3 linked regions of the Diceros bicornis minor genome follow. The protein of the gene in region 3 interacts with the protein of the main gene of each other region in a biochemical or structural test. Links are inferred from orthologs where the notes say so. Each region holds a gene or a part of one and is shown on either strand. Other genes may lie near its edges. The genes, in order: HLTF, tripartite motif-containing protein 5-like and UBE2N.

Region 1 (3,748 bases), on a different chromosome or scaffold from region 3:
GCTCCAATACAAAGAAAATAGAGGAGAACGAAAGACTAAACAAATTCAGATCGTGAAATTCTTTCCCAAGGAATCTCCTGCTTCAGACAACCAAAACATGATTTGAGAAAGCTTCAACATGAGAATAATATGGGGGAATGGAAGAACTGACAAATCCAGAACTTCCCATCAAACAACAGATGTAGTTTCTGCAACAAATCAATGACATGAAACAAGCAGGGGAGCGGGTGACTTGTGGGATGTAACAACTAAAGGTAATACATGAACTCTCTTTTGATCCTGATTCGAAAAAAAATGAACTATAAAAAGATATTTTTAAACAATCAAGAAAACTGATTATGGATTAGCTATTAGATGTAACAAGGAATTATTACTAATTTTTAGTATGAAAATTACACGTAAAAATGTTTGAAATTTTTTAGAGATACAAACTGAATTACATGGGTATAGAGTGATACGGTCAGGATTTTTAGAACAAAAGAAAAAGTGATGAAGCAAACGCACAAAAACTTAACTGCTGAATCTGGATCATAGGTATATGGGAGTTTACTGTATTATTCTACTCATGTATGTTTGAAATTTTTCATAATAAATTAAAAAAATAAAACTAGAGGTATATGATCCAGATACACAGAGGCATACTAGACAACTATACAAAGACAACTATTGATCAGGTCTCTCAGTCTCTAGGTCTCTCTCATGCACACACACACACCGCAGAGAATATACATAGAGAAAGATAGGAAGAAAAACTGCAAGACAGGTAGTCTTACTACAGAAAGAAAAAAGGACCTAAAAATAGACAATTCTCTTATCTAATAGGAGTTGACCTCCTAAATTAAAAATACTAAAGTGTAGAAATGTGCTGAGGGGTAGAAGAGGAGAAAGCAACAGACTGACTTGGAAGTTATTTTGCAAATGTACCAGTCTCTGTGCTTTCTGGGCAAATTATTTAACCCGCCTGAGCTTTAGTTCTTCAGGTACAGGAGGGGGATAGAAGACGTCCTAATCTACCTCAGAGTCACTGCAGTGATCTAATGAGACCATACAGGAAAAAGTGCTTTGCATATTGTAAGCATGATGTAAACATAAAAGAATATCAATCATTAGGTGTCTGTTTCCTCTTGCCCAGATGTATCTCAATTACTTAAAGTAAAATAAATATTAACTGCACATGTCATCTTCTAATTCTTATTTTCTAGGCTAATATCATAAACACATCACATTTTAACTTAACATCTAATGTCATACTCACTACTCCTGTGTAATAGCGTAGTCCAACTACATGACCTCGCAGAGTTCCAAATAAAACTGAATCGAGCTCTTCATCACTAGTCAGGAAGTCATCTGGAGGAATAATATCTTGGAATTCAAAACGGGGAAAGAAAGTTGGATATGACAGGCGTGGAAAATTTCCGGGGACTCCATATTGGACAGTCTGCAAGTACTTCCAAACAGGATCTCTGTCAAAAAAAAAAAAAAAAAGGACACACTAAAATAACACAATATTTAACCAAATTTTTCTCAAAGACCATACCATATTTATCGGCCAATTATCTTACCACACTTTATGTCAACAAATTACACCTTACGTGGGAACCGCTGCATCGAGACTTACAGCGAGTTATCCCGGTGAAAGCGGGAACTGGAGCGAGCGGAGGGTTTCCAGTAGCCCCACCCGTTCAGCGACGCCTCTCCACCCACGGGGATTCAAAACGAGAACCCCAGCAAGGGTTCCCAAGTCTCTCTCCTAGCGACGATCGTCTACCGAAGCTGAGACGTACGCGACGTCTGCAACTTCAGTTACACGCCAAAACGTCATGAGGGGCTGCGCGAGAAGAGACTTGCAAATGCAGGACCACTTTCACACCTGCAGCCGAGCCCGTCCCTGCTGACGACACAGCCAGCACCCACGGCGGCGATTCCCTCCGAGCAGCACGGTCGTTCCACTCACGCATCCCACCACCGCACCGAGCGAAGTCGGCCCCAAGCCCCCCACCCGCGCCCGTTTAAGGGGAACCGCAATCCCGCTGCGGACAACGGTCTCAGGAACGGGCAGGCGAGCCAACCTGGACCCCGAAGAGTCCGGGGTCGCTTCCGCCGCCTCGGAACCGAGAGAAGCTGTTCCGCCCCGTCGCGCGCCCCTCTCCGACTCCTCCGCAAACACCCCCCCGCACGTCCGAGCGCGCGCACGACCGGCCGCCAGCGGGGAAGGGGCCCGCCCCCGGCCCTCTACCGGGCCAGCGCCCAGCGCACGGGCATCCGCCGGCCGCTCGTCGCATAAGGCGCAGGTGGAGACGCGGCTGAGGGGCCCAGGCCCCGCCCCTGACTGACCTCCCCACGGCCCCGCACCGGCCGCCGAGGAGCCTCCCCTCGCCAGCCCACACTCGGCTGCTCTCGCTCCCGCGGCTGCGAGCCCCAGCAGCACCGGGCCGCGGAGCGAACGCGGGGAAGGTCAGGTTCATGTGGGGACGCCGCCGGGCCGTTACCCTCGGCGCCCCACCCCGCCCCCTTCACCTCTTGAACATCCAGGAGGACATGGCGCTGCGTGGGTGACGAGGGCAACGCCGGGGCGCCCGCGATCGTTCTCGAGCCGCCTCGACACGCCTCCTTCCGGGCCTAGCGGGCGAGAAGCCGAGGACCGGTTTGGGGCGCCGGAGGATGGACGAGCTAGCGGGAGGCGAGACGCCGCGAGCCCAGTCAGACGTCGACGCCGTCTCCTTCCAGCAACAATCTGGGAGCCCAGCGGCGCTTTGTGACTGGCACGGGGGACGTCCAATCGCGAGAAGGGAACCTACGGAGACGAACCAATCAGAGCACGGAACGGAGGGCAACTACGCCCCGCGCACAGATTCAAAGACCGTGGGGGGTCCCGGCTGCACCGGCGGTTCCATCCGGGTTCTTCCCCGCCCCCAAGATGGGCGCGCGGGAAAGGCGCGGGAGTGCGGGAGTGCGACCGCTGCGCCCGCGGGTCTGCGTGTTCTGTGCGAGTCCCTGCCTCAAACAGAGGGAGACGACTCTCCTGTCGGCTGCTTCCGCCGAGCCCCAAGCCTCAGCCTCGTTCTTCAGCCCTACCTCAGCTCGCCTCTAATTTTCTCCTCATCTGATGTGACATGTGATAGGGTCTTCCGCTGGCTTGCGAGCCCGCAGCTACCACCTTCATTTCCTGTGGTGAACCCGGGCAGCTGGCGTCAAAATACTCATTTTCGCCAGCGAATCCACGAGACACACCGAGTTCAGAGGAGCTTCCTTGGCGTTCAGATTTATGGAGTCCCCCCGCCCTCTTTTTTTCAAGGAAATTTTTCATTTCTAGCGAAGCCGCAAACTGCGACGCCAGCGCACTAACGCTGCTGGGGAGCGCTGCCCCGGCACGTGCTGCCCTCAGGGGCCGCCCGGGCGCCCAGGCCTCCGCGGCCGGCCTCTGAGGGTCTGAGGAGGGGAGCAGCGCTCGGCTGGCGTCGGTCGGCCACGGCCGTCCGTGCGGCCCGGGAGCCGGGAAGGGGCGGCTGCCGACTGAGCGGCCGTGCCCGGCGCGGCGGCGGCGCCGGGGAGCACGCGGAGCGGTCCCCGGAGACGGGCGCGTCCCAGAGCAAGGGCGGCCGTGGCTGTGAGCGACGCTGACACGTGCCCGGGGCGGAGCGGCCCATTTCCACTCCCGGCGGCAGTGCGAGGTGCGCAGTGCAACAGGGTTTCGAGAGGCGTCTGTTCCTCCTCTTCAGCTGCCGTGATCTGTACGCGTGGACCCGCA
Region 2 (3,748 bases), on a different chromosome or scaffold from region 3:
TCTATCAGCAGCTCCAGGCAAATGGAGCTATGCAGCAATAAACAAAGAAAGAGAGGGTCTCAGTAGTTATTAATGTCTTGACAGTTGCTAAAGTTTGATGATAAGAGAAGGGTCACTATGAGACAACCAGTAAGTTTTCCCTTTGTCCAGAAAAAGGGAGGGAAAAGCTATAAAGACTGCATGGAGAAAAATTTAGACCCACTAAAAGTGTCTACTTGTGTCATGCTCATCATACCTGAAGGAAACCTGATAAATAACAAGGCTGAAGGTGAACCGAAAGTATAATCCAGCTAATAGTACAGATACTAAAAAAAGCCCAGAGGTCATATGCAGTTGGCATCTGGCCGCAGAGACTATGGCCCAGATCAGGCCATTATGAATAGCAAGATCAAAGGTGGATATTATACCAAATGTAGACATTATATGATAACGTCTACCCATGTTTCTGACTCAAGCTATCCAAACATGGGCGTGGGGCCTCCAATTATTTCTCATCCCATTCAAGATCCAACCAAAGCTGAGATGCCTCAAGAACCCATAGAGGAGGGAGGAGCAGAGCATGGTTTATGCCAAGGTGTTATGGAATTTATTTTCACAGTGGGGCTACAAGGAGCTAATGTCAAAGCACCTGCTGCCACAATCGACACAGAATGGCAATATACAGAGGAGCTAGAATCCTCGCCCATGGAGGATGATCTCACCTCTACCTAAGCAGTGACCCAAGGGCTCCACAGCAATGAGGGAGATAGATATGGGAACATGAGCTGTGAGTCTGATAGAACTCCCAGGTCAGTTGGCTGCCATAGGTGTCAGGTGATTGCACCTTACACATTTGTCTTCTGACATCTGAGCTCATGAGAATAAAAATCCGAAACATCCCAGAGGTGACAGCTAAAGACAAGCAAAAAACACATTAAAAGACAATAGCTATGTAAACGGTCTAACGATAAGGATATAGCATAACTTTCTTCTTTTGTGATTGGAATAAAACTATTTCTCTAAACATGATGAAGCCCTAATTTACCAATGTTATATGGGAAAGAGTCACTTTTCCTAAATAGAATGGAAAAAAGAAATTCGGCTATGTTTTTATTGCAGGTAACCATCTAATACTATTTAATATAAACTCTTTATAATACTACCAAAATAAAAACTGAAGCATAAAAGTAACAAATCAATTCTAAATCCCTGCAATAACTGGCATGACAGAGGTGTACTGTATGAGTTCAGAAGACAGGTGCCTAACACTGACTTATGCCTGAGAGGAAGACAAGAATATGTAGCAGAGGTGACAGTCTCCAAAGCCAACTCTGATAAAGTACGAGTATTTCACGTGAGGGGAAGTCAGGGTGAGAAAAGAGATTTGACTGGTGTCTTCCACATGCCTGAGCAAGGTGAGTGCAGCTGTACGTTCTTTAGGAAGGGGCAGTAAGCACAGAGACTCACTTTTACTTCCTTCCTTCCTGTTTCTCAGGATCCTGTTATCATGCTACTTTTTGTGACATCTTTTTATATCATTAACAATAATCAAGTAACTCATTTTGTTTATCGAAGTGAGCAAAGATAGCACATTTGCAAATTCTTCCTACATGTTCCTCTTGCTCCTGATCTCTCAAGCTGAGCTCTGTTTCTGGGTGGCAGATACAGCCCAAGGTGATGGATGAGCAAGGTTAGTGATTTTAAGGAATTGTAGCAATTTCCTGTGTCTGGACAAGTGAAATACAGGCTGCAGAGCTTGGCAGCTGTCACCCCATCAAGTCTCCTGAGCACAGACAGGCCAAGGGATGAGAATTTATCTACAGAGTCATACAGAAATAGTAGATTGTTACACTTAAGGCATTAAACTATTACGATTTAAAGATCCCTTTGCCTTTGCTCCTGTTGTTGGGGAAAGGGACTTTCTACCTCTGAAAACTCTAGGAGTCTGCCTGTTCAACAAGGTACAATTCAAAATTATAGACTCTGTAGATGTGGGTAAATTCAGATTGGAGAAACAATTGTCCCTCCATGAAACAAATAAAGCCTTTTACTTCATCAACTCTCTCTTCTTTAGAGACCAGCCCTCCCCCAGACTGCACTTCAGTCAGCACTCTCAGTGGGAAGCCTGCAAATTGGGCCTTTTTCCGCCTTCAGAACAGCTTCCTGAAGACAAATTAAACTCACTCAAGCAAATTCAATTTTTTCCTCTGAAGTCTCCCAATCCCTACCATCTACAAACTACTCAACTGACCTTCAGACAGCAATGTAGTAGTTGTGCCACTTTTCAGAAGAGGAAGCCAGGCCAGGTACAGAGGTGGTCAGGATTTACTTACCAAACCAGGGGCCTGAGCTGCACGAAGAAGATGGAGAGGAGCCAAGTGAAAATGAAAGTTAAATTCTTGGGGGACGGCAGAAAAGAAGAAGAGAATCTATGGACCAATGGGAGGCTTCTACCTCAAGCCCCTGGGAAATGACAAGACTTTTGTGCCTGGGCCAGATGGGCCAGTGACTACATTTTTATCCGTACGTCAGTTCTGGTCCTGGAAGCTGTTTCATGGCTTTTAAGGTAATTCATCTTTTGGAGCACAAGGCTTACCTAGGCAATGGAATTATACACACATCCACCTTGTCTTGTTTACTTGCAAATGAGTTGTCACAAGGAGAGAATGAAGTAACCCCCTTACATCAGTGAGAACCCATCTGAAAGCTCACCTGAAACAGCCATACCTGCATACTCTCCTGTCCTGCATCCACCAGCTATTGGACCTATCAGGTCATGTGAGAGGGAATGGCTATCCAAATCTGAAATTATCTCAGGTGGTCACTCAGACAGGCTATCCCAGTGGAAACACAGTGATACTGACTTTTAGAATCTGGATTCAGTATGGCCAAAATGAGACTTTTCCTAAATAGACTGGGAAGATGAAACTGTATGAAGTGTCATTTGTTGGGTAATGTAATCTAATACTATTTAAAATATAATGTCTATATGTTAGCATAATAAAAATAATGCAGGAAAATAATTGTGATGACGAATTTTACATGACAACTTGAGTGTTCAGAAGGTGCCCAGATCAAACATTACCTCTGGATGTGTCTAAGAGGGTGTTATTTCCAGGTTAGCATTTAAATCTGTGTACTCAGTAAACTATATTGTTCTCCCCAATGTGGGTGGTCATCCTCCAACCCCTTGTGGGCCTGGATAAAAAAAAAGGGGGAGGAAGAGTGAATCTGCCCCTTTTGCTTCCTGCTTGCCTCTTTGAGCTGAGGCATAGGTCTTCTCCTGCTCTTGGACTAGGACTAGCATCATTGGATGCCCTGGTTCTCAAGCCTTCATATCAGTCCCTACTGATTACAGTCCCCACTGATTAAACCATTTGCTCTTCTGGGTCTCCAGCTTGCAGATGGCAGATCCTGGAAGTTCTCAGCCTCCATAGTCACTTGAGCCTATACATATATATATATCATATTGGTTCTGTTTCTCTCAAGAATCCTGATTAATATAGTAATGAAACAATTCTAAAACCCTGTGTTAAGTGGCACAGATGAACTCTGATAGTGGTAATGATAATGACACAGACGAACTGCACTATTTCAAAAGATGTATGCCTAAAAAAGACTTGGGGGAGTTAAGGGTACAAGGAGGATGTTATAGGAGTGGTAATGCTCAAAGTCAACCTTATGCCAGTAAGATCTGGTCATATAAGAGGAAGTCAGGGGGAAAAATGATAGAGCTTTGACTGGGATCTGCCATCTGAGTGAGTCAGTC
Region 3 (3,748 bases):
TAATACAGTAGGCCAGGCAACAAATGATGGAACTCAACAGTGGTTTCAGAGAGAGAGGGAAATGTGTCAGATTCAGCATATACTTCGAAAGTAGAGCCTAGAGAATTTGCTACTGGACTGGAAATAAAAATCTGAGTGGGACAGCAACGGGGTGAATTCAAAAAAATCACCTTATATTTGAATAGTCATTTACAATTGTCAAGGTACTTTTACATACATTATGTCATTTCATAATAACAAGAGGCAGGAGAAGGTCACTCTGAGTTAACATCCAAGTTCTGCCTCTTGCCAGCTTCAAGACCCTAGGAAAGTTGTTTGAATGTGTTTCCAGACTGTAAATGTATTGTCTACTTCACAAGATTACTGCAGGTATCAAGTGGCTCAAGAACTCTGCAAATGTAAATAGTAACCATTTTGAGGTGGCCAGCATCATGTTAATAGTTGTCCATTGATGGTATGGTGTATTCCTATCATTCTGGACAGTAGAGCTACCATACCACCACCACCACAACTATATTCCACATAGGACCCTGTAATAGTGGTTGACAGAGAAGACCCAACCTTTTTTTAAAAATTCTGACACAAAAAATAAACATTTTCACTGATTATGGAAAAACCTACATAATATAACAGGGGCACTAGAAAAAACAGTATAATCTTTTAATCCTTCCTAGGGATTGGAGAAAACAGTTCTATAAATGGTATTACAGTAAAACCACCTAACTTTTACAAGATAAAACCCAAATCAAGGCATCTTTCATTAGAGAGATGCTATCAACAAAATACTGTAAAATTAAGATTATATATGAGTTATCACTGTCTTGGTTTAAATAGTAAGATGCAAATGCCTAGTGTAAACTAAACTATTGTGTGCCAAATGAACTGAATTATAAGAACAACTTATTGCCTTAATTTCTGTAAGTTTATAAAAACAAGATCCCACAGAATTTATTTTTCTATTCAAGGCTTTCATATTACTGCAGAATATCTCCAAAATCAAGCAAAAATGGAAAAATTCATCTTAAATCTTTAGTTCATTATGTATTTTGGAGAATTATCTTGAATGTCAATTTGTGTTATGTACTTAGTCAATCACCTGACTAGAAGTCAATAAAAATTAAGAGAATATCTGGCATACAGCTCTATCCTCCACCCCTCAGTTTCAACTGGGGCCTCGATAAACATGACCATTAGGGCCACGTAACTGCATTATAACTAAAACCACATTTTAAGGATCTTCCAATGCATACAGCAATTAAACTGCCTTGGCCAGAGTCCGAGATAAATCCACTAATATAACAAATTTGGCACTATGAAGAACCACATTAGACTCCAGCACCCAATGACAATCTGTTCTACTTCTCTAATTTCTAAGAATATCCATCTTACAAATGGTCTTATTTCTCTAAATCAAGCACCTTAAGGCAGAGACACCTCCATCTCACACATATTTACCTACAACTGCACGAAACAATACACAATACATCAGCCTTCAACAGGTTTTCACTGAGTATGCACCTCCCCCCAAACTTTAGAAGAACAAACTAGATTAAATATACGCTCAACACATTATATCCAGCAAAATGATGCTGCAATTTAGTCACTTGAACTCGCATATTGAGGGACACAGAGTTCAACTGATTTCCTTCACTAAAATTGACAAAAAACTTCAAAGCTTTGTTTTTGAGTATTGCAAGAAACATTTCACATCGGAGGACTCGATATTATGTAAAGAATTCACAAAATAAAGATGTCACATTTTTCATGATTCTATATGTAATGGTTAAAGCGCACAAAATCGAGAGGCAAAAGATTTCACAGGGTCTCCCATACCTGCGCCCTCACCCCCACCCCCGGTCTTGTGTTAAACTATTTGCTCTGAACAGGAGCTCTGAACCAGTCTACCAACCAGAGTAAAATCACTTCGCGGAGATAACGAGCGGAAACGTATCTAAGGAAACGAGCTCGCGGAAGCGAGGGCAGCGGGGCGCGGAGCCCCCACATCCCCGGACCCGCATGTGTCGACGGCGGCAGGACGCGCGGCCCTCCCGGAGCCGCCTCCCGGGGCACAGGGCCCCGCCCGGCCTCACTCGCCCGGTTCATTCATTCTGAACGCGGGGCTGCCGCATCCCCGCGCTCCCGCTCGGGCCGAGAGGGGGCTCCGGGGCCGAGGGGCCGTGCCGGGCCACAACCCCCACCCCGAGTCGGGGCCCCGCCACGATTCCCGCGCGCCCGCGGCCTCCGCCCGGGGGTGGTCTGAGAGGCCGCCGAGGCCCGCGCCGGCCCGCGCCCAAGACCGGAGCCCCGCAACCCCGGCCCCACCCTCCGCCAGAGCGCAGGCCAGGCCTTCCCTGCTCGCGGGGCAGCCGCCTGGAAGCCCCGGGTCCCCGCCGCCGGGCTGCCCCACCGCGGCCGGAAGTCTCCCCGGCGCCCCCTCCCCAGCGCCCGACTTCCCTCGCCGCCGCGGCCAGACCCTCTCCGCGCTGCCTCGGGCCTCCCAGCGCGGGCCGCGGGCCGCAGGCAGCGAGGGGCTGCGCCGCCCGGTCTGCCGAGAGCGCACGAGCAGAGCGGGCAGCCGGAGGCCGGCCTGGGCGGTTACCTTGATGATCCTGCGGGGCAGCCCGGCCATCTTGTCAGATCCCGAGTTCGGCCTCTGGTCTTGTCTCCGCTCCGCTCGCCTCACGCACGAGTGGAAGTCCCGGGCTCCACTTCCGGGGGACGTTGCCGCGCCCGCCGCCGCCGCCGCCGCCGCCCAGGCCCCTCGGGAAATGTAGTCCCGGCTCGGGCGGGCTTCCCTCGGACCTGGCCCCCTCCCCCGCGCTCCCCGCCCCAGCCCCGGCCCGAGGGGGCGGAAGTGACGCGCCGCGGCGGGGCAGGGACTTGGGGGAGGTGGCGCGGGGCTCCGCCGGTCTTGGCCGAGCGGGCCGCGCGATGGTGGGACTGGGCTGCCGGCGCCCCTCAGACTTCTTATCCACGGCCACGCCCGCGCCGGTGGGCGACGTAACAGAGGCCCGGCCGCCGACGTAGCCCATTCCTTCGTTAGTGCGATCGTTCATTCATTCAACGTTCCTGCATTGCGCGCGGTCGGAGCTGGTGCTGCAGGGAACGACTGCGGTCAAGTTGATCCGCTGGCTCCTGACTCAAAGAGAGGAGAAGACCGAAACTCGGTAGCAAAGCTCCTGTGGGTCTCGAAAGTTAGCCAGGGAAAACCCTAGCCAGAGAGTTTTGATCTTCAAATTTCGGAAAAATCAAGCCTCTGACACACCCCTTAGGCCCGGGAAAGGCTAAAAGAAAAGAGCTTGGAGAGTTGGGGGCGGGGAAGAAGAATGGCTTCTGGACTCAGTGGTTGAAACGGCAGAGTCCTTAGCTGGAGGAATGACCAAGGAGAGGATTGGAGAGCCCAGAGTAATCCGGGAAAGAGGGATAACCCACAGAGCGCGGGGCCCTAAAGGAAGATTAGAGTGGGGATGCCCGAAAATAGGATTTGGGGAAGCATTTCGTGACATCCTGGTGATTGATTGCTTGCTGTGTGATGGGCTCACTGCAGTTACTATTTTACTTCATCTTCACAGCAATCTTAAGAAGGTGTTGCCTCCGCCTTTACAAATGAGGCTCAGAGACGCTAACTTGTTTCAAGGTTATGCAGGAGGTGGAGCTGTTTTGTCCTCGGGCAGGTCTCCCAAAACATGGACCCCTTAACTACTTAAGCACAGTGTTTCCAAACACAGTAGCACAGACAGTAGATGGT

What was found.
Region 1: the proteins of UBE2N (region 3) and HLTF form a complex in vitro, tested with the Homo sapiens proteins (2 studies listed by BioGRID, with this or other methods). The link is inferred for Diceros bicornis minor from reciprocal best matches to the Homo sapiens genes UBE2N and HLTF.
Region 2: the proteins of UBE2N (region 3) and tripartite motif-containing protein 5-like form a complex in vitro, tested with the Homo sapiens proteins (2 studies listed by BioGRID, with this or other methods). The link is inferred for Diceros bicornis minor from reciprocal best matches to the Homo sapiens genes UBE2N and TRIM5.

The regions. Positions count from the first base shown.
Region 1 is NC_080741.1:5,870,328-5,874,075, reverse strand, and holds the start of HLTF (helicase-like transcription factor), read right to left. Parts: upstream 2,579-3,748; 5' UTR 2,541-2,578; coding exon 2,518-2,540; intron 1,464-2,517; coding exon 1,256-1,463; intron 1-1,255. UniProt on the Homo sapiens protein: Has both helicase and E3 ubiquitin ligase activities. Possesses intrinsic ATP-dependent nucleosome-remodeling activity; This activity may be required for transcriptional activation or repression of specific target promoters.
Region 2 is NC_080746.1:62,437,031-62,440,778, reverse strand, and holds the start of tripartite motif-containing protein 5-like, read right to left. Parts: upstream 2,565-3,748; 5' UTR 2,313-2,564; intron 1-2,312.
Region 3 is NC_080764.1:28,473,868-28,477,615, reverse strand, and holds the start of UBE2N (ubiquitin-conjugating enzyme E2 N), read right to left. Parts: upstream 3,033-3,748; 5' UTR 2,630-3,032; coding exon 2,600-2,629; intron 1-2,599. UniProt on the Homo sapiens protein: The UBE2V1-UBE2N and UBE2V2-UBE2N heterodimers catalyze the synthesis of non-canonical 'Lys-63'-linked polyubiquitin chains. This type of polyubiquitination does not lead to protein degradation by the proteasome.